Pelodiscus sinensis: one gene and its partner. The protein of the gene in region 1 binds, or shares a complex with, the protein of each later gene. Links are inferred from orthologs where the notes say so. Each region holds a gene or a part of one and is shown in the gene's direction. Other genes may lie near its edges.

What was found.
Region 2: the proteins of GLE1 (region 1) and NUP42 are in contact, whole or in part, in a crystal structure (PDB 6B4I), measured with the Homo sapiens proteins. The link is inferred for Pelodiscus sinensis from reciprocal best matches to the Homo sapiens genes GLE1 and NUP42. Residues at the interface, in NP_001003722.1 of Homo sapiens: Ile385, Ile593, Leu598, Asn599, Trp602, Arg603, Ala606, Gln607, Leu609, Asn610, Gln636, Tyr637, Gln638, Val639, Gln640, Lys643, Met644, Ile646, Leu647, Glu650, Asp651, Tyr652; in NP_001357375.1 of Homo sapiens: Asp185, Asn186, Val187, Leu188, Phe189, Gln202, Phe203, Gln204, Ser205, Lys206, Lys207, Phe208, Leu210, Gly211, Lys212, Ile213, Pro214, Leu215, Lys216, Pro217, Pro218, Leu222, Leu223, Asn224, Val225.

Annotation. Positions count from the first base shown.
Region 1 is NC_134732.1:11,438,037-11,449,877, forward strand, and holds the start of GLE1 (mRNA export factor GLE1), read left to right. Parts: upstream 1-6,284; 5' UTR 6,285-6,353; coding exon 6,354-6,452; intron 6,453-11,841. UniProt on the Homo sapiens protein: Required for the export of mRNAs containing poly(A) tails from the nucleus into the cytoplasm. May be involved in the terminal step of the mRNA transport through the nuclear pore complex (NPC).
Region 2 is NC_134712.1:199,262,075-199,273,954, reverse strand, and holds the start of NUP42 (nucleoporin NUP42), read left to right. Parts: upstream 1-6,612; 5' UTR 6,613-6,690; coding exon 6,691-6,802; intron 6,803-9,694; coding exon 9,695-9,941; intron 9,942-11,548; coding exon 11,549-11,643; intron 11,644-11,880. Other genes in the region: KLHL7 (kelch-like protein 7), read left to right, coding at 626-909.

The DNA of each region.
Region 1 (11,841 bases):
AGAGAGAATTTTGTCTTGTGCACCAGTATTGAATTCGTGTGTGCTTGTTCGGATGTATGTCACTGTAGCACCCAAGTTATTAATATCTTATAAACCTCTCCCTTTTCCCTCTGTTGACATATCTCCCACCCCCCTTGTCCCATCTGCTCCTCTGGTGCCTGCTGCTGCCCCTCCTACCCTTTATCCTCCTGGCTCCTTGCCCTTTTTCTCCCTGATGCCCACCCCCTCACCACCTTCTGCCCCAGTTCTCCTCATGCCCCTCACACTTGACTTGCTCCATCCCCTGCCTTCCATATACCCACCCCTTTTCTCAATCCCTCTTCTCCTGGCACCCCCTCTCCTCTTCCTCCCATTGTCCCTCCACTCTCCTCTCCCCTCATCACACTGTCCCCTCCCTTCTCTAACCCCTCTCCCCCCCATGGACACCTTCCCTCCCTTACCCCCCCTTCTGCCCTTTTCCTCATTGTCTCCTCTTTGCCCCTAGCATTTCTCTCTCCTCCACCCTACATCTTGGTGCCTTCCCCTTTCTTCTCCTGCTGCTCCTTTCCCCTCAGCACAAACCCCTTTCTCTCCTTACCCCCACCTCTCCTTAGTTCTTCCCCTGCCTGTTTTTTCACTTTCTGCCTTTGATGTGGAAAGCAGTTTATGGGGGCTAGAGCCAGGGCTGTGGTGCTATTTTTAGTACTGCTGTCCCGATCCCTATAGGTGCCTTGGCTCCAGCTGGAGTAAAGCAGCAGCCACATGAGGACCCTTCTGGTGAGGCTGCCCTGGTTGGAACGTGCCTCATGCGACTTCCATTTGACTTCAGCTGGACCCAGGGCTTCCCACAAGGGCCTGGACTGTGGTACTAAAAATAGCACTGCGGGTGGCCTCTGCTGGGCTATGTCTACACTCATGGCTTCTTGCGCAAGAACAGCCATTCTTGCACAAGAATCCACAGAGTGTCTACACTGCCCATCTGCTCTTGCGCAAGTAAATGTACAGTATGGTGTGATAAGAGACAGTTCCTTGCGCAAGAGCCACGCTGTTTTCTATCCGGCTTAAGCTCTCTTGTGCAGGTGCTCTTGCCCAAGAGGGCAGTGTGGACGTTCGGCAAGCACGTACTTGCGCGAGAATTGGCCTCCAGTGAAAAACGCAGGTGCCCCCCAACACTCTGTACAGGCAATCACCACTTGTTGGTTCCCCCTAATTGGCCCTCCCCTTAAAGGCACAGGCACGGAGCATAGCCATTTGCCACGTGCAGCCAGGGTAGCAGCCCAGAGGGAGGAATGGCAGCTGCCCAGCCTCAGCCAGGTCCCTCAGACCCCACGGAGGAGCCACCCCAGAGCACCCAGCAAGTCCGAAGGGGCACCAAGTGGCAGGCTCCATGGTGGAGCACCGCCGAGGTGACTGCCCTCCTGGACCTCTGAGGAAAGGAGGAGGCCCTCCGGGACCCCAAGTCCCAGAGGAGAAATGCGCACATTTTTGCCCAGATGGCCCAGGCGCTGGCCACAAAGGGACACCCGGCCCAAACCCTGGAATAGGTCCGGGCCAAGGTGAAGGACCTGCGCCTCACCTATGTGCAGGCAGCAAGCGTGGGGGCGGCGGAGCCACTGACTGTCCCCAGTATCACTGTCTGCACCAGATCTTGTGGGACAAAGGGGCCCTCCCCTGCTGTCCCAGGTGGACACAGCAGTGGCCACCCCAGTGGTCTGACCTAGGCCACTGGAGAAGGAGGAGGTGGCAGAGGACAGCAGCCAGACCTCACCATCCTGGCCCAGCAGCAGTCAGGATGTGTCCCGGGCATCTTCCGAAGCCTGTGAGGGTTTGTTTGGTGAGTGCAGTGGCTACCATTCGCAAGTGTGCTGGACAAGTGGGGGGAGGGCCACAGGGTGGGAGAGAGGTAGTGGCACATGGCACAGCCTGGCCACATGCTGTGCAGAGGCATGCAGCATGTGCAACCTCATGCAGCTAGGGTTGCCAGGTGTCCAGTTTAGAACTGGATAGTCCAGTCTGAGCTTTCTGTTCAGAAAACAAATTGAGAGGATATAAATGAGAAAATAAACAGGTCTGGTATTTTTTAACTAAGATGTAATGTAGAATGTCATGTAATGTCAAGTGTGTTCAGTAGTTTTCTTGAAACCATCCGGCAACCCTACGTGCAGCCAGACCAAGTGGCACAGAGAAGCGGCAGCCAGCCCCAGCACATGCATGGGACTCCAAGGATTCCGCTCGACCAGACCGGGGAGAGGGGAAGGTTTGGTCAGGAGTAGGCCAGCCCCAAGGTTGCAGGCCTAACCTCATACAGCCTAAAGGATGCTGCACACAGCACACATCCATGGCCACCTCTGGGACACTGTAGCTTCCCCTGGGGAAGGCACATGAGGCCCCCCCCAAGCACAAACGGCCCCCCTGGGGGCTCCTGGGCCACCTTGGGACCCACCCCCCGCTGCCTCAGGGGAATTCCCCCTCACCAGCCACACCTGTCCCCGGGCATCGTGATGTGCTAGGAGGAGGGCACGGGGCTCTGGAACACCATTTGGGGCAGGGCTCACTGACCATGTTGCTCTCCTCTGCTTCTCCTGCAGTGGGACCCCCTGCCAGCAAGGGACCTTCCAGCCCCATCCTGCCAGCCCAAAGGATCCAGGGCCCGTCACAGTGTTCCTGGGACCGCCACCACCTGCTCCGCCGCCACATCTGCGCAATTGAGCACATGGAGCACGCTCTTACCCAGAAGATCTGCGCAGATGCGGAGTGGCGGGAGCGGGTGTGGGGCCAGTACCTGGAACGCTGCGACTGTGTCTGCACTCTCCTGGACACCATGGCTGACCGGATGGGCCCTGTGGAGCAGCCTAAGGCTGCCAGGCCCCCCCTCTGCCACCCCTAGCTCTCCGCCCGCTTCTCCCCCTGCCTTGCCCATGTCCCCTCCCCAGGTCCCCCACCCTTAGCACCTCCTCGTGCAGCCTGCCCCAACCCAGCACAAGGGATAGAGGCGCCCCCGCCCCCGTGGAGGTGGGAGAGGCCTCCATTATCCATCATGAGGCTCTCCCAGTTCAGGGTCCCCTCCTCCCCTCTCTTCCCAGCTCAGGGTCCCCCCCTCCCCACAGTGCACTCCCTTCCGAATGTAAATAAAAAAGTGCCTTATGTACAGCAAATGCATTTTATTTATTGGGAGGTGAGGGAAGGGGGGCAGGAAGGGGTGGTGATGGGAGCAGGAAGTGGGGTCACAGGGGCATCCCTGCGTCAGAGGTGTAGGAGTGGCCTATTGTGGGGCCTGGTCCAGCATCATCCAGAGGGCTTCCCAGACCCGAACCCCTTGGTGATTGGTCTGCCGGGTGGCAGCCATGTGGGGCTGCTGGTAGGCTTGGCCCTTTTCCATCCACCCTGGGAGGAAGGCCTCCCCCCCTCACCTCCCAATAATATTGTGGTGCACGAAACATACCGAGATGACCTCCGGGATGTGCTGCACCCCTATGTCCAGGTGGGTCAGGAGGCGCCTAAACTGTGCCTTCAGACAGCCAAAGGCGCACTCGACAGGATTGTGGGCCCAGTCCAGCTGGCTGTTGAAGGTGGCCTGGCTGTGGTCCAGGTGGCCAGTGTATGGCTGCATCAGCCAGGCCATCAGGGGGTAGGCCACATCCCCCAAGATGCAGACTGGCATCCTGACATCCCCAATGGTGAATTCCGCTGGGGGAAGTAGGTGCCTGCCTGTGACACAGGCCTGCGTGCCTGAAGATGCGAGTGTTATGGGCCTGCCCCGACCACCCCACATAAATGTCCTGGAACCGGCCCTGGTGGTCCACTAGCGCCTGGAGCACCACAGAGCAGTAGCCCTTCCGGTTTATGAACCGGGCCGCTTGGTGCTCTGGCACCCGGATGGGGATGTGGGTCCTGTCTACGGCTCCCCCAGAGTTCGGGAAGCCGAGACTGGTGAAGCCAGCAATGTCCTGGGGGCAGATCACCTAACTAAGGAAGACCAGGAGAAGAGAAAACAAATCAGACATGGAGAGCAAACTAGTTATATATTCTAACCTCTCCAGCTCCTCTAGCTTCAAGATCAGCTGCTTGTTCTCCTCCTGGGCAGACTGATACTTCTCTCTTGTCATTTCCATTTTGTCACCCTGGAGCTCAATCTAAAATGATAGAAAACAGACCTTACACAGCAAGTCAGTATAAACCCAAGATCAGCCACCTAAAATGGGTGCTGTTCTTGGATGATGATGAGGAAATCCACAGCTATAACACCTTCACATTCACATTTCAGGAAAGCCTTAAAGAGTGAAATGGTATGTGGAAGCAGCAAAAGCTAAATGTCCAATTTGTGTTCTTTCTCCAGGTAATGTTTAGACTCATTGTGAAATAGAATTTTTTCCACACCACACATGGGCAGTCAGGTGCTAGTGACCTCCTGACATGGCCAATTTGCTTCCGGAGACACGTTCTTGCGCAAGGGCTTCCCGCCAGTGTGGACGCTTTCTTGCGCAAGAGCTCAGTGTTCTCACGATGCGGTTCTGGCCAGTGTGGACGTTTTCTTGCACAAGAGATCTTGCGCGAGATATTTCTGTGCAAGAACCTGCCAGTGTAGACATAGCCCTGCAGTCCTGGCACCTGCCAAGCCTGAGCGTGCCCCACCCCGCAGTGCCCCAGTCAGACACTGTGTGGCTCCTGCAGGGGCTCCAAGGCAAGGAGATCCGGGAGCCACTCCACTGGGTTTTGCGTTGGACCTGCCCAGCCTCCTCTCCCCCCCGGCAGTGGTGGCAGCCACTGTACTAACAAGCGGCCTGGAGGAGGCTACCAGACCAGGACCCTGCCCCACAGAGGTGGTCCTGTGGGGGAAGGGAGGGACTGCCCACAGGCAAACCTCCAATGGAGCTGCCTATATGCACCCTACTGGGGGGAGAAGGAGGTGGTGGCTGCTGCACCGCACAAGGAGCAATAGCACAGAGCCATTTCTTGGTTGCTTCTTCCTGTGAGCTGGTGTCCCCATCAAGCAGTGAAATGTCTGGTGGGGCATTCTGGGACATTTCACTATTTGATGGAGACACTGGGCCAGAGTATTTAAATTCAGGACTGTCCCAGAAAAATCGAGACATAGCCAGCATAAGCGTGTATTGCTTTTCTCTGCTGCTGTGTGGTGGAAAATGAAAATGTTGGCTGACTTGGGTTGCCAGAGGGTTTCAACAATAATACGGGACACACTTGACATTACATCACAATCTACATTACATTTTATTTAGAAAATACCGGACATTTATATTTTCTCAATTTGTTTCCTGAACAGAAAACTCAAATACTGGACTGTCTGGTTCAAAACTGGACATCTGGCAACCCTAGCTGGCTCCTTCACATGCTCCCTGTGCTGCAGCTTACTTGCTATTTATCATTCTGTCTCTGAAGAAAAAAAGAAAGAGGACTATGTAGCACTTTAAAGACTAACAAGATGGTTTATTAGGTGATGAGCTTTCGTGGGCCAGACCCACTTCCTCAGATCAAATAGTGGAAGAAAATGGTCACAACCAATATACCAAAGGATACAATTAAAAAAATGAACACATATGAAAAGGACAAATCACATTTCAGAATGGAAAGGGGATGGGGGGGAGGTAAATGTCTGCGAGTTAATGATATTAGAGGTGATAATTGGGGAATCTATCTTTGTAATGGGTAAGATAATTAGAAGTCTTTATTCAAGCTTAGGTGATGCCAAGTGGTGATCTATTGTTGGTTTTCTTGGGTCTGTCTTGAAGATGGTTTCTGGGTATTCGTCTGGCTCTTTCAATTTGCTTTTTTACTTCTCCGGGTGGGTAGTTGAGGGTTATACATGCTTGGTAGAGACCCTGAAGTGACACCAGACTAACAGGGCTACATTTCTATCACTGGCTCTGAAGAGGCCGCCCCTTGGCTGAGCTGGCTCGTTTCCATCAGCATAGACAAATCTTGTTCTGTTGCAGTTGCTCTGGGGAGGGGATGGTCGCTTTGTGCTGCTCAGCCCAGGCACGGACACAACGGGGAGTATGTCCGGCTCTCAGGGGCCTGGCGTTTTCACTCGCAGGGCGGCGGTTGGTTCCCCGTCGGGCAGCCCCTGGAAACACGAACCTGCGGGGGGCTGAGGGGTTAACAGGCGGCGCCGCACCAGCAGACCCCAAGGCCCATTGAGGGCTGCAGCGCTTTCTGCGCGCCAGCAGGGGACGATACGGCGTCTCCGAAGCGTCACTGCGGTTTCCTCATGGAAGGGGGAGGGGGGGGCAGAAGAACTGCAGGTGCCCGGAAACAGAACGAGCGTGCGTGAGGGGTCAAAGGTCATTGTGTTCCCGTCATGCGCGGCGGTTGGCGGAGCTGCAACTGGTCGGTAGCGAGCCTGGGGCTGGGTCGAGATGCCGTCGGAGCGGTACCGCTGGGAGACCCTGGAGGCGCTGAAAGGCTCCAGCAAGGGGCAGTTGAGCTACTCCCGGGATTGGCTGCTGCGCGGTGAGGTGAGTGCGGAGCGGGGGAGCGCTGCCTGCTACCGCTCCGGCCAATCCCGCTCTGGGACCCTCCTCCTCACCCCCGGCTGCACAGCTTCTGGGACACCTCCCCTCCACACACATGGATTGCACCCGCTTCCGGCCAGTCTCTCTCGCCTCCCCAAATGGGTTGCGCCCGCTTCCGGCCACGGCCATCTCCACACAGTGGGAGGTCCCAGCTCTCCCTGCTCGGGACCCCCTCAGGCACACAAAAGAGGGGAGCACCTGCTCCTGGCCAGCCCAGTGTGGGAGGGTCTGGGAAACCCTCATACACTGGTAGGGCAGTTGCTCTTCACCCAGGGACAGGCCCAGAGAGTTCCCCCCCATCAGTGGGTCACCCACTCCCAGCCATCCCTGGTATGTAGGGTCAGGGGGATCCCCTCATGCTATCCCTGTGGTGCATCTGTAGCATTTTTAGCTTAGGCAGATGGAGATGTGCGGGTGGAAGAGTGTTCATGTCCACAATAATCTTTGGGAGATATTAGCAAATTCACACTGAAACAGCCCCTGCATATATAAGCTGTATCTATATTAGGGTGCTGTACTGGTATAGATATTTCTGCAGAGCATGTGTAATGTAGACAAGAACAAAGCACAGACTGTACTCTTGCCCATACAGACACAGAATGAGCCTGCAAACTGTCCAGGACCCCTGAGAATACAGAGGTAGGCTTAAGGAGATTTTATGTTATCAATTCTGGTAGATATTCAGTAGGAATTTGAATTTTAATAAGCAGATGGCTTGATGAACTAGGATGGAGAAGGCCTTCTCTGCACAGAGGATGATATGGAAGAAGGCATTGAGACAGGAACTGGAAAATGAGTATTATTGGCAGAGTGAAAAGTAAGGAAAAAATAAGATCAGAAACTTAGGTTGAGGAGGAGTTGAATAAGGACTTGCCTGCCTGGTGGTCACTTGCCTGCCTGGTGCGAAGGTTGCGGATCTCTCGAGGCATCTAGATAGACTTATGTGTAGTGCTGGGGAGGAGCCGGTGGTCGTGGTACATGTAGGTACCAATGACATAGGGAAGGGTAGGAGAGATGTCCTGGAGGCCAAATTTAGGCTGCCAGGAAAGAGACTGAAATCCAGGACCTCTATGGTGGCGTTCTCGGAAATGCTTCCAGTTCCACGCGCAGGACCAGATAGGCAGGCAGAGCTTCAGAGTCTCAATGCGTGGATGAGACGATGGTGTAGGGAAGAGGGGTTTAGATTTATTAGGAACTGGGGACACTTTTGGGAGAGGGGGAGCCTATACAGGAAGGATGGGCTCCACCTAAACCAGGGTGGAACCAGACTGCTGGCACTAAACATTAATAAGGCCGTAGAGCAGTTTTTAAACTAAGAGATGGGGGAAAGCCGATTGGTGAGGAGATGCACGTAAATCGGAGAGAGACTTCTCTTAGAGGAGAATCCGTTGATAGAGATTCTCTAAGCTGTAGTTGGAAAGAGAGGAGGGGAGAGGGCAAACCATTGGCCAGAGCTGACAAACAATCGCATAGAAAGGAATCCAATGCATCAGGGAAGGGCAGACAAATAACCAGTGGCAAATTTTTAAAGTGCTTGTACACAAATGCTAGGAATCTGACTAATAAGATGGGTGAACTAGAGTACCTCGTATTAAATGAGGAGATTGACATAATAGGCATCACTGAAACCTGGTGGAATGAGGAAAATCTGTGGGACACAATCATACCGGGATATAAAATATATAGAAAGGATAGAGCAGGCCGGGTGGGTGCCGGAGTGGCACTGTATGTGAAAGATAATGTAGAATCAAATGAAATAAAAATATTAAGTGAATCAACATGTTCCATAGAATCGCTATGGATAGAAATTCCATGCTCCAATAACAAGAAATTAGCAGTAGGGATATATTACCGACCACCTGACCAGGACAGCAATACTGACATAGAAATGCTGAGGGAGATTAGAGAGGCTACCAAAATAGAGAACTCTATAATAATGGGGGATTTTAATTACCCCCATATTGACTGGATACATGTCACCTCAGGAAGAGAAGCGGAGATAAAATTTCTCAATAGCTTAAATGACTGCTTCTTGGAGCAGCTAGTGCAGGAACCCACAAGGGGAGAGGCAATTCTCGATTTAGTCCTGAGTGGAGTGCAGGATCAGGTCCAGGATATAACCGTTACAGGACCGCTTGGGAATAGTGACCATAATATAATAACATTCAACATTCCTGTGGTGGGAAGAACACCTCAGCAGTCCAGTACCCTGGCATTTAATTTCAAAAAGGGGAATTACACAAAAATGAGGAGGTTGTTAAACAGAAATTAAAAGGCGCAGTGACTAGAGCCAAATCCCTGAAAGCTGCATGGAAACTTTTTAAAGACACCATAATAGAGGCCCAACTTAAATGTATACCCCAAATTAAAAAACATAGCAAGAGACCTAAAAAAGAGTCACCGTGGCTTAACCACCATGTAAAAGAAGCAGTGAGGGACAAAAAGGTATCTTTTAAGAAGTGGAAGTCCAATCCTAGTGAGATAAATAGAAAGGAACATAAACACTGTCAAATCAAGTGTAAACATGTAATAAGAAAAGCAAAAAAAGATTTTGAGGAACAGCTAGCCAAAAACTCAAAAAGAAATAACAAAATGTTTTTTAAGTACATTAGAAGCAGGAAGCCTGCTAAAAAGCCTGTGGGTCCCCTAGATGATCGAGCTATAAAAGGAGCAATCAAAGACGATAAAGCCATTGCGGAGAAACTAAATGATTTCTTTGCTTCAGTCTTCACGGCTGAGGATGTTGGGGAGATTCCTGAATCTGCACCGTCCTTTGTGGGTGATGAATCTGAGGAACTGTCCTGGATTGAAGTGTCATTAGAGGAGGTTTTGGAACAAATAGAAAAACTTAATGTTAACAAATCTCCGGGACAGGATGGCATTCATCCAAGGGTTCTAAAAGAACTTAAATGGGAAATTGCTGAGCTATTATCTGTGGTTTGTAACCTATCCTTTAAATCGGCTTCCGTACCTAATGACTGGAAGGTAGCCAACGTGACACCTATATTTAAAAAGGGCTCTAGAGGCGATCCTGGCAATTACAGACTGGTAAGTCTAACTTCAGTACCGGGCAAATTAGTCGAAACAATAGTAAAGAATAAAATTGTGAATCATGTAGAAGAACATAATTTGTTGGACAAAAGTCAACATGGTTTCTGTAAAGGGAAATCCTGTCTTACTAATCTATTAGAGTTCTTTGAAGGGGTTAACAAACATGCGGACAAGGGGGATCCAGTAGATATAGTATACTTGGATTTTCAGAAAGCCTTTGACAAGGTCCCTCACCAAAGGCTCTTGTGTAAATTACATGGCCATGGGATAAGAGGGATGGTCCTTTCTTGGATTGAGAACTGGCTAAAAGACAGGAAACAAAGGGTAGGAATAAATAGTAAATTTTCAGATTGGAGAGGGGTAACTAGTGGTGTACCCCAAGGGTCAGTCCTGGGACCAATCCTTTTCAACTTATTCATAAATGATCTGGAGAAAGGGGTAAGCAGTGAGGTAGTAAAGTTTGCAGATGATACCAAACTGTTTAGGATAGTCAAGACAGAAGCAGACTGTGAGGGACTCCAAGAAGATCTCACCAAACTGAGTGATTGGGCAACAAAATGGCAAATGAAATTTAATGTGGATAAGTGTAAAGTAATGCACATCGGGAAAAATAACCCCAACTATACGTACAGTATGATAGGGGCTAATTTGGCTATGACAAATCAGGAAAGAGATCTTGGAGTTATCGTGGACAGTTCTCTGAAAACTTCCACACAGTGTGCAGCGGCGGTCAACAAGGCAAATAGGATGCTAGGAATTATTAGGAAAGGGATAGAAAATAAGACCCAGAACATCTTACTGCCCCTGTATAAAACTATGGTACGCCCACATCTTGAATACTGTGTACAGATGTGGTCTCCTCACCTCAAAAAAGATATTTTGGCCTTGGAAAGGGTTCAGAAAAGGGCAACTAAAATGATTAGGGGTTTGGAACGGGTCCCATATGAGGAGAGGCTAAAGAGACTGGGACTTTTCAGTTTAGAAAAGAGGAGACTGAGGGGGGGATATGATAGAGGTCTATAAAATCATGAGTGGTGTGGAGAGGGCTGATAAAGAAAAGTTATTTATTAGTTCCCATAATAGAAGAACTAGAGGACACCAAATGAAATTAATGGGTAGCAGGTTTAAAACTAATAAAAGGAAGTTCTTCACACAGCGTGTTGTCAACCTGTGGAACTCCTTGCCAGAGGAGGCGGTGAAGGCTAGGACTATAATAGAGTTTAAAGAGAAGCTGGATAAATTCATGGAGGTTAGGTCCATAAAAGGCTATTAGCCAGGGGATAAAATGGTGTCCTTGGCCTCTGTTTGTCAGAGGCTGGAGAGGGATGGCAGGAGACAAATCGCTTGATCATTGACTTCGGTCAACCCTCTCTGGGGTACCTGGTGCTGGCCACTGTCGGTAGACAGGATACTGGGCTAGATGGACCTTTGGTCTGACCCAGTACGGCCGTTCTTATGTTCTTATGTTCTTATGACTTGAGCTTTATTATCACTTTAAAATTTGATATATTGATGGCTTGGTCAGATAGATGGACAAGGAAGACCATTTTAGTGATCATAATGGGACTGAGAGAGAGAGGACTTCTGACAATTCAGTTGTGACTTTCAATCCAGAGAAGTGATTATTCCCCTTTATTCGGCTCTGGTGAGGCCACATCTGGAGTACTGTGTCCAGTTCTGGGCCCCACACTACAAAAAGGATGTGGACACATTGGAGAGGGTCCAGCGGAGGGCAACCAAAATGATTAGGGGGCTGGAGCATATGACCTATGAGGAGCAGCTGAGGGAGTTGGGTCTGTTTAGTCTGCAGAAGAGAAGAGTGAGGGGGGATTTGATAGCAGCCTTCAAATTCCTGAAGGGAGCTTCCAAGGAGGATGGAGAGGCTGTTCTCAGTGGTGACAGATGGCAGAACAAGGAGCAATGGTCTCAAGTTGTGGTGGGAGAGGTCCAGGTTGGATATTAGGAAAAACTACTTCACTAGGAGGGTAGAGAAACACTGGAATGGGTTACCTAGGGAAGTAGTGGAGTCTCCATCCCTAGAGGTGTTTAAGTCTCGGCTTGACAAAGCCCTGGCTGGGTTGATTTAGTTGGGATTGGTCCTGCCTAGAGCAGGGGGCTGGACTTGATGACCTTCTGAGGTCTTTTCCAGCTCTATGATTCTCTCAGTTGTCCAAAGAAAGCCTAGTCTATTTTATACACCTGATCCAGCGGTGTATAGCAGACCCCAACCACACCATCACCCTTGTTGCTTCCACCTCTAAACTTAACCCATAGACTCTCA
Region 2 (11,880 bases), on another chromosome or scaffold:
GAAATAAATTTATAAATAACAGCCATCATCATAGATTACGCATCTTTTCAGGGTAACAGTTCTCAAAATCGCGTGTGTCTGAGCAGTCAGAATTTAAGACTGGGAATTACTACTCCTCTCTGCCCTAGGTGTGATAGTGTTGTGAGGCACTGATTATAAAAGTGCTTTTGGATTGGATGGTACATTAAAATTGTTTGTGGTCTTGTAATTGTTTTTCAGCACTTTCCTTGCTGCCGCCTCTCTTTTGAGGGGGGAAAAAGCAGCTAATCCCAATTACAGACCATGTTGCCTTCTTAAGAAGGGAGGAGGGATTGATTTTTAATAAAAAAACACAGTTGGGATGTCCAGTTTCAGCCCGGAGTGAAAGCTTAATGAAGAATTATTAAACAGGAACTTGTAATTGGAAATAACACACAGCTGGAACTCCAGCAATACAAATATTACCGCCTGTATGGTTATGCATTCTCTACACAAATACATGTTCTATAAATATTCACATTGTGAAAAGATATATGATGGATTAAAATATCCTCTACTACTGTGAGTCAAAGGCCTTTTCGGTGAGATTTTTTTGGTAAGCAGTAGCAGTGTTCATATTGCTAATAATTGTTTGATTTATTTCAAGGTGGCCTAGACAACGTGGAATATTATGATATTAAGATGAATGAATGGAAGATGGTATCACCAATGCCATGGAAGGGTGTGACAGTGAAGTGTGCTGCTGTGGGCTCTATAGTCTATGTCCTGGCTGGCTTTCAGGGTGTGGGCCGATTAGGGCACATCCTTGAGTATAATACTGAAACAGACAAGTGGATAGCAAACTCCAAAGTCCGTGCTTTCCCAGTGACGAGTTGTTTAATCTGTGTTGTTGATACTTGTGGAGCAAATGAAGAAACGCTAGAGACATGAAGGCCTCAAGGAGAAGTCAGGACATTCTTCAGAGACTTGGAAAAGATGGCCATCGGTGCTTTGCTTTTGGATTTTATTGATTCTTGTTAAACTGAATAATCTTGAAAAACTGAGATGTAGCCCTCACATTTGTATATACAGTATGTGCCCATTTAATTTTTACCCTTTGTTCTAAAAGATGGGATGTATTTCAAGATTCCAGTATCCTAGCTCAGAACACGACATGTTTTCTTGAACAAATTTTTTGTGTGGCTTTGCCAAAAACTAACCAGCCTCTCTCCTCACCCTTCAGCTTAGTTATCTGGAAAATGTTAGTGCATTTGATATAGTTTAGCCTAAATCTCAGAAAAAACTTAAAAACAACAAATAGTCTAGTAAGCACCTTAAAGACTAACAAAACAAGTAGATGATATCATGAGCTTTCATGGGCACAACCCATGTCTTAGATGACAGGAGTATTAGAAGTCCAGATCCAAGAATAAATAAGGGGAGGAGCGAGGAGGAAAAAAATAGCACAAAGGGGGAGGGAAAAAAAGACAGTGAGTAGATAGTTCAAATAGTTACAAGAGGCTGATAAGAACAATTAGCACCTCCATTGGTTGATTGGTTAAGTCATTAGGCTGTGGAAGGTACCGTGCAAGCCATTACTTTATTCAAGATACTGAAGTGCAAACCAGACTACAAAGAATTACAAAGGGATCTTATAAAACAGGGTAACTGGATAACATCATGGCAGATAACATTCAATATTGATAAATGCTAAGTAAGGCATATTAGAAAAATATCCTAATTATACATACATACAAATGATGGGGTCTAAATTTGCTGTTAACCACTCAAGTGAGACAGTTTGAAATCATTATGGTTAAGTCCCTGAAAACATTTGCTTAATGTGCAGGAATCGCTAAGAAAGGAATAGATAATAAAACAGAAAATATCACATTGTCTCTATATCAATCCATGGCATGCCCGTATCTTGGCATGAAGTTGCCCCATCTCAAAAAGATATGTTGGCATTGGAAAAGTTTCAGAAAAGGGCAACAAAAATGATTAGAAGTATAAAACAGTTGCTGTAGGAGAAAAGTTAATAAGGCTGGGACTTTTCATCTTGGAAAAGAGATGACTTAAGGGGATTATAATAGAGAGTTGTAAAATCATGTCTGGTGTGAAGAAAACATAGAAGTGTCATTTACTGTTTGTCATTACACAAGAACTAGGGATCATCAAATGAAATTTAGGGGCAGGGGTTTAAAACAAACAAAATGAAGTATTTCTTCTAGGGATGTTAAATTGCATTTACTACCTGATTAGTTTATAAGAGGGGAAACTGCGGAGTCTCAGCAGGGATAACTCTGGGCCCCAGGAGCTAACCCTGCTGTGGCTCTGCCTTTTAAATGTATTAAGAGCTGCCAGGTCTTAATACATTTAAAAGGCAGAGCCACAGCATCTGGGGTTGAGCGTGAGTTGGGACAGCTGATTCCCAGTTAATGCCTGGTCGTCCATCCCCCCGGCCCCATGCCTTTTCCTCTCTTGCCCCCTCCCCCCCCCCCCCAAGACCGGGGGCGGGGCAGGAGAACTGGCTTTTAAGCCCACTCTTCACAGCACTGGCTCCCGCTCCCCCCTAACTCCTTTACTGCCTCTCTCTTATAGAGGCACGGGGAGGGGAAACGCGACTAGTTAAGTCACTACTTGACTACCTGATAAGCATATGTTTATTGGGTAGTCTACTAGTTGCTTACATCCCCAATTTCTTCATACACTGCAGTCAACTTGTGGAACTGTTTGTCAGAGATTGTTGTGAAGGCCAAGACTATAACAGGGTTAAAAAAAGAACTAGAAAAATTCATGGAGGAGAGGTCCATCAATGGCTATTAGCTGAGACGGGCAGGAATGGTGTCCCACAAGCTGTGAATGGGCAGTAGGGGATGTATCACTCTGATTATCTGTTCTTCAGAGGGAATGAACAGCACCTGATGTTGGCCACTGTCAGAAGACAGTATACTGAGCTAGACAGACCTTCGGTCTGACCTAGTGTGGCTGTTCTTAATATACATTCTACAGCTCAGACGTAGAAATTCTCTAGATACCCACGGTGAATTAATACAAGTTGTCATAGGCGAAAATGAATTTCCTCATACTGTTCTTTCTCTTTTATGCACATTGCACAACCACCATTCTTGTTTATATAGCCATTTAGTACCAACCTTGCAACACAAGGGGTATACTGGATTAGGAATGATATGTGAACTCATAACTTGCACAGCTCCTGCCTGTAGTATGGCAGTTTTATACCACTGTTGTTCATACATCATTTTGATAACTATTTCAGTGCATACTCATTTTAAAAATTAAACAGGCCACATGTATATTACAGAAACTTTGTTCCTTATTTGATTTGGCACTTTGAGGAACTTACACAAAAAGACCTCTAAATTATCACAAAACTCAGAATCTTGAGGTTTGATTGCATATTTTATTCAACACAAAAGTGCTCTGTACTATCAGGTTGGGCACTTGGGATCAAGTCACAATTTGTTTTCCTAGACCAATGTGCTAAAAATATGGAAGCCAATCCATTTGTGAAGATGTGGAGGGTGGGGAGAAGTAATAAGTTAGTTATAACCATGCAAACATAAATTCCTTTCAATTTTAAAGAGACTTATACATTTGGAAAATAATTTGAAAAATCTGTGGGCAATTAAGTGTGCAGTGCTAAAAATGTACCTGAATCATCAAAAACTTCACTGTAGACATGGATACAATATAATCTTCCAAGTTCCATGGTGCTCCAGTTCACAGTATAGATAAACCAGGCTTGTCAACTAACCTCTTGTACACTTACCAGTTAGTTCATGAAAATTTTCACTCTACAGGCGGCCCCCGACTTGTGATGTGATTGGTTCCTGGGGAAGCGTCGCAAGTTGCGGGTGTTGTAACTCGACCCCTCATTTACCATGTGCGTCGTCGTAAATGTGGGCCGAAGACTTAAGTTGGGGGGGTTTCGGCCCCTTCCGCACTTACAAAAATGGCTGTAAGTGCAGGGGGTCAGAACTCGGGTGGTCTCATGTTGGGGGTTTCCTGTAATTCTATCTGTCCAATAACCTGCTATCCTTTTTCAGACCATTCCCTTCTAGACTACCAAGACAGCATTGACATCTTAAAAAAATAATTACATTGGTACATATTTTTTAACGGATACCCTTCCAAAAGGAGAATGGATGTTTAAGATGCTCTGCTCCAAGTTCTTGGTAAATTTGGTAAATTTCCAGCTTCCAGATCTCACTATCTTTCTCAGATCTCATGGACTGGATTAAATTCTACTTTCTGGGTTGAACAGGCTGATTATTATAGCTGCTAGCATGTTTTTAAGATTCTGAAGCACATTTATTTTCCATTGAGTTAATAATTTTCTTAAACTACAGATAAATTTATAAATACAAAGAAGGGATTTGAAAAAAAATTGTCATAGCACAGTTAAAAAGCAACTTCAGTGGAACATTTTGTTGAAACTGCTGTAAGTAAAGAAGATCTTGCTTATGTACATCTGTTCAAGCTTATGATTATTTGGGATTTCTCATGCTATATATTCTAGCTTGCAGGCTAGAGCATGCTGAACTTGGTTCATTGAATTAGTGGTAGCAAGTATTAGATTATGAAGAGTGCAACAAAACTTTTCTTAGATAATTCTGTGTATCAAGCATGTGTATTGATAAAACTTAAAAGGCTTCTGTGTTTGGTATCAGAAGCATCCTTTGGAACTTTCTGATGGAAATGAAACAAATACCTCAGTGAAGCTTGTGGGTCAGTAAATGATGTTCAGTAAATATGTTTTCTTCAGTCTTATCTCACCACACAAACTTTAAAAAACACAACTGTTTGTGACAAACAGTTTAGTGACAAATCCCTATGCCCTACTTCATGATACAGCTGTGAAGCTGGCATCATCCTAAAATCAAGACAATTTGATAGTTTATCTGGCAATTGAAATAATTCTGGTATTTTATGTAATTTGTAGGATTTTTAAAATGTTTAAAATAGAGCTGGCCTATCAGCTAGATAGTGTTCCCTATGTGAATGCTATCCTTAACTATAGTGATAGAAATGTAGCTGTGTTAGTCTGCTGTAGCTGAAACAAAATACAGGACTATGTAGCACTTTAAAGACTAACAAGATGGTTTATTAGATGATGAGCTTTCGTGGGCCAGACCCACTTCCTCAGATCAAATAGTGGAAGAAAATAGTCACAACCATATATACCAAAGGACCTAATTACATGCATCCTACTCCAGAAGACTTTCAAATCTGCACTTGAAAGGGAATCCTCTGAACTGTCATTCATGCTAAAATTCGACACTCTCCGTGGGGGGTTGAACAAAGACACCAACTACCTTACCCATTACAAAGATAGCTTCCCCAATTATCACCTCTAATACCATTAGCTCATAGACATCTACCTTTCCCCACCTCTAATATCATTAACTCACAGACATTTACCTTCCTTCTCTTCCCCCCCCCCCATCCTCCTTCTGTTCTGAAATGTGATTTGTCCTTTTCATATGTGTTCATTTTTTTTAATTGTATCCTTTGGTATATATGGTTGTGACTATTTTCTTCCACTATTTGATCTGAGGAAGTGGGTCTGGCCCACGAAAGCTCATCATCTAATAAACCATCTTGTTAGTCTTTAAAGTGCTACATAGTCCTGTATTTTGATCCTTAACTATCACATTTTATCTGCTATACTTTTCCCAATATGCATTATATATAAAAATGCATAATATGAAGGTGCAATGTTTGGCACAGTAGGAGCCTGTTTTCCCTTACACCTATGGGAAGAGGGTCAAGGTGGATCCCTATCTCCCTCTTGTGTTGGCAGTGTGCATTCACTTTCTCTTTTGCATAGGGAGAGGGTAACGATCTGTTTTCCAGGGGAGATGGTATTATGAGCTTTCCTGGGCAGTGAAAGCTCATGATACCATCTACATGTCTCCTTAGTCTATAAAGTGCTACCAGACCAGTTTTTGTTTCTCCTGTACAGACTAACTCAGCTACCACCTGAAGCTTCCAGGGGAGAGGGGGATGAGCAGGTCCCAGACCAGGGGCTTTATAGTCTACAGGTAACTGGTGACGTGTCCCCGCTGAGAAGAGACCAGCCGCTGTTTCACCATTACTAGGGGGTCGCTCCAGCAGGGAGAGGGTGTCAGCGGGGGTCACGCCTGGGGGAGGGGCGCAGAGCTGTAGCCAGGGATGGAGGCCTCCCCGCAGGGCAGGCGTGGGGGTGAGTCACGGGATCTCTCCCCCGCGTGCCGCTGCCCAGTGGATCGTTGCAGCGCTGGGCGCGCGAGTCAAAGGCTTGTCCCTCGCGGCGGCCCGTCCAAGCCTGTGGTGGAGGCGGGCCGCGAGCGTCAGTCCGGACTTGGGGGCGGTGAGGAGAGGAACAGCGATGGCAATCATAGCACGTGCAGGTAAGGCTAAGGACGCGCTCTCATAGGCTGTTCCGCTACCCAGGGCTTAAGGGGCGGAGCAACAGCTGGGCTTCTCATTGGGCCGCTCAACTGGCACTTTCGCGCACAACCGGTAAAAGTCAGGAACCGCCTTCTCACGTTCTCCCGCGCCTGGGCAAAGGCTCGCATACGTCACTCAGAAGCGCCGTAATGTCACGCGGTGAGGCGGTCGCGGGCCTTGCACGTCGTAGCAGTGGGTGGTTCTGTCGGCCGGTGTCGTTAGCCGCGGCAGCTATGACGCAACGGAGGCCGGAACTCGGGGGCCCCGGCCGCTGCCATGACCATCTGCCACTTCTTCCTGCAGGGCCGCTGCCGCTTCGGCGAGAGGTGCTGGAACGAGCATCCCCGCGGCGGGGGGCGCCCGGCCCCGGCCCCGCCGCCTTCTCAGGGTACCCGCTTCTCTCAACTCCTCCGCCTGCGGCTGGTCGCCTCCGCCCCTCGCAGCCCTCCCGGGGGCTCTCGCCGGGGCAGCCGAGGTCCCGATCCCCGCTTTCGGGGCTCGCGTGCAGCCGGCCGGGTCAGGGCCCAGCTGCGGCGCTAATGGCTGAAGCGTCTGGGACGCTGCTTGCCCCCCCCCCCCCCCGTGAGGTGTGAGCCGGTCACCTCCCTGACCAGTCCAGCCTAGCGCCGACGGGCCTGGTCTGAGCCTGGGTCCCTGCGCGCTTCCAATAGACGTGATTACCCTGGTCGGTCCCAGTCCCGTATCCCGCCCGCCGCAGGGTGCAGCTTCGGGGAAAGGTGCCAGGAATTTAGCAGGCCTGGGATAATCTGCGCCCGGAAAAGGTTCTTCCTGACAACCCCCTGTCCCCTGTTGAGAGCTCGGGTTCTGCCATAAGACCTGTAGCTCTGTGTCCCTGCCAGAACTCTTGTTGGTTCTCCTTAGGGTTCGCTGTTAGACGTCTGGATATTCTTGTCTTCTGCGCAGCAACCTATTTAAAGTCAGACCTTTTTTAATCTCCCTTCTGTCACACTAATACTGTAACCTTGGTGCAGCTCTTAATCTCTTGATGTTTGAGTGCTTTCTGTGGTGGGGTTAGGGTAATGTATAAATTTTGACAGGTGGCCTCTTGAAATCTTCCCCCCTCCTTAATGAACGGGGCTGGTAAAATGTGACTGCAATTCGTTGGCTAGTAAAGTTTAAAAGAAATATACAGAATTGTGTTTTACCACATATAAATACAGAACTTAGCTGCACCAAATGCTGTAGGTTTTCTCAGGAATTTAAAGTTGAGGGTTAGATAACTTTCAGTTAAAATACTAAACGTATTTAGTAGCAAGCAAACAGTTGAACATTTTACCTCTTTATAAGTGGTGAGTCATCCTTGCAATTGTCACTAAATCACATAGCTCAAGTGGGTATTTATTGTAAATGACTAATAGTTTTGGAGTAATAGTATTTATAAAATAGAGAAGTTAGAGGTTTTTTCCCTCATTTGAAATTATAGCCTATCTGGATGCTCAGGAAACAATAAACCAGAATGTGTGTTGTTTTCAACCTGTTTTTCCTCTTCCTCCCCCAATCCTCCATTCTTGATTACTGGAATTCTAATAGGACTCTGACATTAGTATTAAGGAAGATGAATTACAAGTATGCTGAAGAGAAACCTTGCCCAATTCCCCATCTGCATATGATTTTCCATTTCTCTTCCATAGACAAAAGAGACATCACAGTGCCACAATTTGTTGTTACAAAACGGACCGTTTGAAAGGAAACTGAAGTGCCCGGGCCTATTAAATACATTGATAAATTGCTTATGATTTAACAAATACACTTAAGCAACAAATAGTCTTGCAGCATCTTGGAGACTAACGAAAAATGTAGATGCCTATGATATCAACTACATTTTTTGTTAGTTTTTAATGTGCTGCAAGACTATTTGTTTTTTAAGTTTATTCAGTTACAGACCAATACAGCTACCCCTCAGAAACACTTGCTTATGATTTGTAAGGAGTACTGCCATCCTTGAATCTGTTCCATTTCATAATTGTTATAAGTAGTTTTTTATGCTTATACCTACCTTCATAATCTCCTAGCAAATGTTTGTAGCTTAGTCACATGTTCCCTTGTTTTTGTAATGTTTCTGGGTCTATGAAATCTCTCACAAGAAGTGTGAAAATGAGGGGCTTTTTCTTCCAAGTTGACCATGTGGATTGGATCTGGCAGGGTCTGGGCTGCACAGGTCATCTTTCAGGATTGGTGTTTAAGTGCTATCAAATGGGCAAAATAAACAAGAATAGTGAAAATACTTCTAATCTTTCAGATATTAGAGCTGATCTCAGCCCTTAAAATCTTTATTACTTGCAGTAACAATGGATTAATATCATATAGTGTGTTGGCCTCTTGAAAGGTTTTAAGATATGAATGAGATATCTTAAGACCCCATTCTGGAAATAAATAGTCCCATTTAACTTAATTATGCTCACATGATGACAGTTGCTTAATGTAGGGGTTCTCAAATTTTGTGATACCATGACCCCCTAAAATGCTAAATGAATTTGTGTGGAACCCCCTCCCCCCCAGGTCTCTTCCTCCCCCCTTCTCACCAGACTCCTTGCCCTCCTGGGGTTCCTTTAAGGCATTTGCAGTCCTCAACGCCCTTCCCCCCTGCAGGCCCCTTCCCCCATCTCTTTCTCCTCTGTGCTTCTTTTCCGCTCCGCATCCCTTTGGTTCCTTTCCTCTCCTCTGACCCCCATGTGCCCTTATTTACCTTCAGGTCCTCTGCCCTGACCCAATCCCCCAGCCTGTTGCCTGAGGGACCTCGCCCTCTCCCAGCTGGGGAAGAGTTCAGTCACCTAGCAACTATGCCCTGGCCTGCCCCGCCCCTTGCGCATCTGCTACTGCGTTGGCCTCGCTCTCCCACCGCCTTGCCTCCTACTGCAGCTGAGCCGTGCTCCAGGAGTCCTGCGGCCCTGGCTACACTGTGCGGCTTGCCAGTGGCTGCCTTACACTGCCCTGCCTCTCTTCGTGGCCCGGGGGAGAGGGGTCACAAGTGAAAAAACGAATCCAGCTGCGACCCCCCTGGGGGTCACAACCCACAGTTTGAGAAATGATGGCTTAATGTGTAATTGCAGGCATGGACTCTATTTGTACATACATCTTTTTAAATAAAATAAACTCTGATCACATAATGCACAACTAAAAATATTAACTGTTCTAGTAATTGGTTCTCTTCATGCTCTGTAATTTTCAGTACTAGCATACATAAGTGAACTTGGTTCACTTGATTTGTGGTAATGAGGAAAATGTGAAAGAATATTTGTTTTCTCTTTTTCAATGCAAGGTACTGGCAGAGGAGGATGGGGTGGCCATAACCAGAGATACACCAGTGTTGTCCAACCTTCTAACTTCTCTAAACCCTCTACGTGGGGTGGCAGCAGAAATGATGGAAAGGCTTTTTTTGGATCCTCTGACTATGGAGCACCAGGCAGTGGCAATAAAAGTTCAGGATTTTCTCAAAACAGATTCTCTGCATTAAATTCTGAGCAAAATATTGTCAGTGACTACAGAGATGAAGAAGAGAAGCTTCTGTAAGTCCTTGTTCTGTGATTATCTAGAAAGAATTTAGGTAAATTTTACAAGTGTAAATTTGTATGGAGACACTTGAGTATATTATGTAACTTCCTTATAATGCCAGTTTGAAGAGATTTCTAATGTCTAAATATTTACATTATAATTTGTTAATATGAACATCTTCATTGGGAGGTAATGAAGTGTATGTGTAGTAAAATTAATTGTCATAGGAATTTAAAATGCACACAGACAACCTTTATTAATTGAAATTGTTGTTTTTAATAATTTTGCATTCATCTTTAAAGTGATCTGCAAAAGGGGAAAAACTGGGCTTTTTTTCCTTTCTCTTTCTACTCTACAAAGCAAGCCTGGGAGGTTTGGGGAAACTTTTCATTTAAAAAAAAAAAAAAAAAACCCCTGCTGTTTAACCAAAAAGTGTCAGGTCTTGGCTATTGGATGACTGGAGTACTGTTGTGATATAAAAATCCTAAGTATTAAGGAATTGAGGTACTGGTTGAGGCCAAAAGTGGCTTTCATTCACCCTCTAGTTAAATAGGTGTTGTGAAAGAGTTTTAATGTTCCTAGATCTAAGGGAAAACTTCCTCTAAGACTTAGGTGCAAGTCTTGCAGAGTAAGAAGTTGCAATCTATGTCTACATTCCATTGCAGGTTTATTTGTTAGAGCAGGATGAGGAAATTTTTACACCCCTTAAAATCCTTAGATTTTGGTATTTACTTGCATTCGTATGAGATTTAAAAATGTATCTTTAATAAAAGCAAATTTCTAACTTGCTGCAGTACAGTATTCTTGCTTTTGCTCTCTCCAGAGTTTCTTTAAATATTACACTTATTTTACTTCAGTTAATAGTCCCTTATCCCTATTTCATTACTTCTACCAGGGCTCGACAAATTAATGCAATCTACTAGCCTGTGGTGAGTAGATTGCAACCCGGAAGAGCCGCGTTTGGGCGATCTGCTCATGCGCAGATCGCTGGACAGCGCAGCTGGCGAGTGGGGCTCGCTGCAGTTCAGCGAGCCCTGACTTCTACAATATATGGATTTCTGTAGTCTCTAAAATTGAGATGTCTGTTTTTCATCTGGTCTGAAATCTTTCTGCTTTTTACTTTTTGCTGTTATACATATTATTAGCTTATTTTTGTAGAATTTTGTAACTTTCAAGGTTTCGCAAATGTTAATGCTGAGATTATGATTGCAGCCTACAGAGAAAATCATTTAACAGCATATTTGCCCTTCCTGCCTGTCTTTATCCAGCTTACTTAATTCATGATGCAATTTATATACTTTAACAAAATGTTTTAAAAGTGGCCATTTCTACATATCACATCACAATTGTTAACTGAGGGTCCAATTCTCCCAGTATTGCTCATGATAAAGAGTACCATACTTCAGTGTGCATAAACCATTATCTTCCACGGTTCATCTTTACTACTAGGATGGGAAAATATTTTGTCTGTTAAAGTCAGGAAGACTGCTAATGGAATACTATGCTGTGGAAGGTTAGGGAGTATATCAGAATGTGGCACTGCATTATTTTGAAATACCTTCTCTTGAGTAGAATAATTTGTTTTTATTCACACTTTTGATTTTGGTATAACTTTTTTTAGTGAAGGTATAATAAAAGACATGGAAGTATGGGAATCTTCAGGACAATGGATGTTCTCTTGTTATTCACCTATGAAAGAAAAGCCTAACATCTCAGGTAATAACTTCCTCAGTCTCAACTTATTACCAAGAATGTTTTTCTCAAGTTGTTGCATTATATTTTAAGGTCCAGAAGTGCCAGTTGCCTTGCAGAAATGCACAAGACTAAAGCTCTTCCTTCTAAAGAACTAAGGTTTCAAACCTTCCACTTGCTCCACCTATGTGGAGGTCATCCGAGATCTAGACTTGACTTGTCATGCAACAAAGAGGAAATGAGATTATGGACAAACTAGAA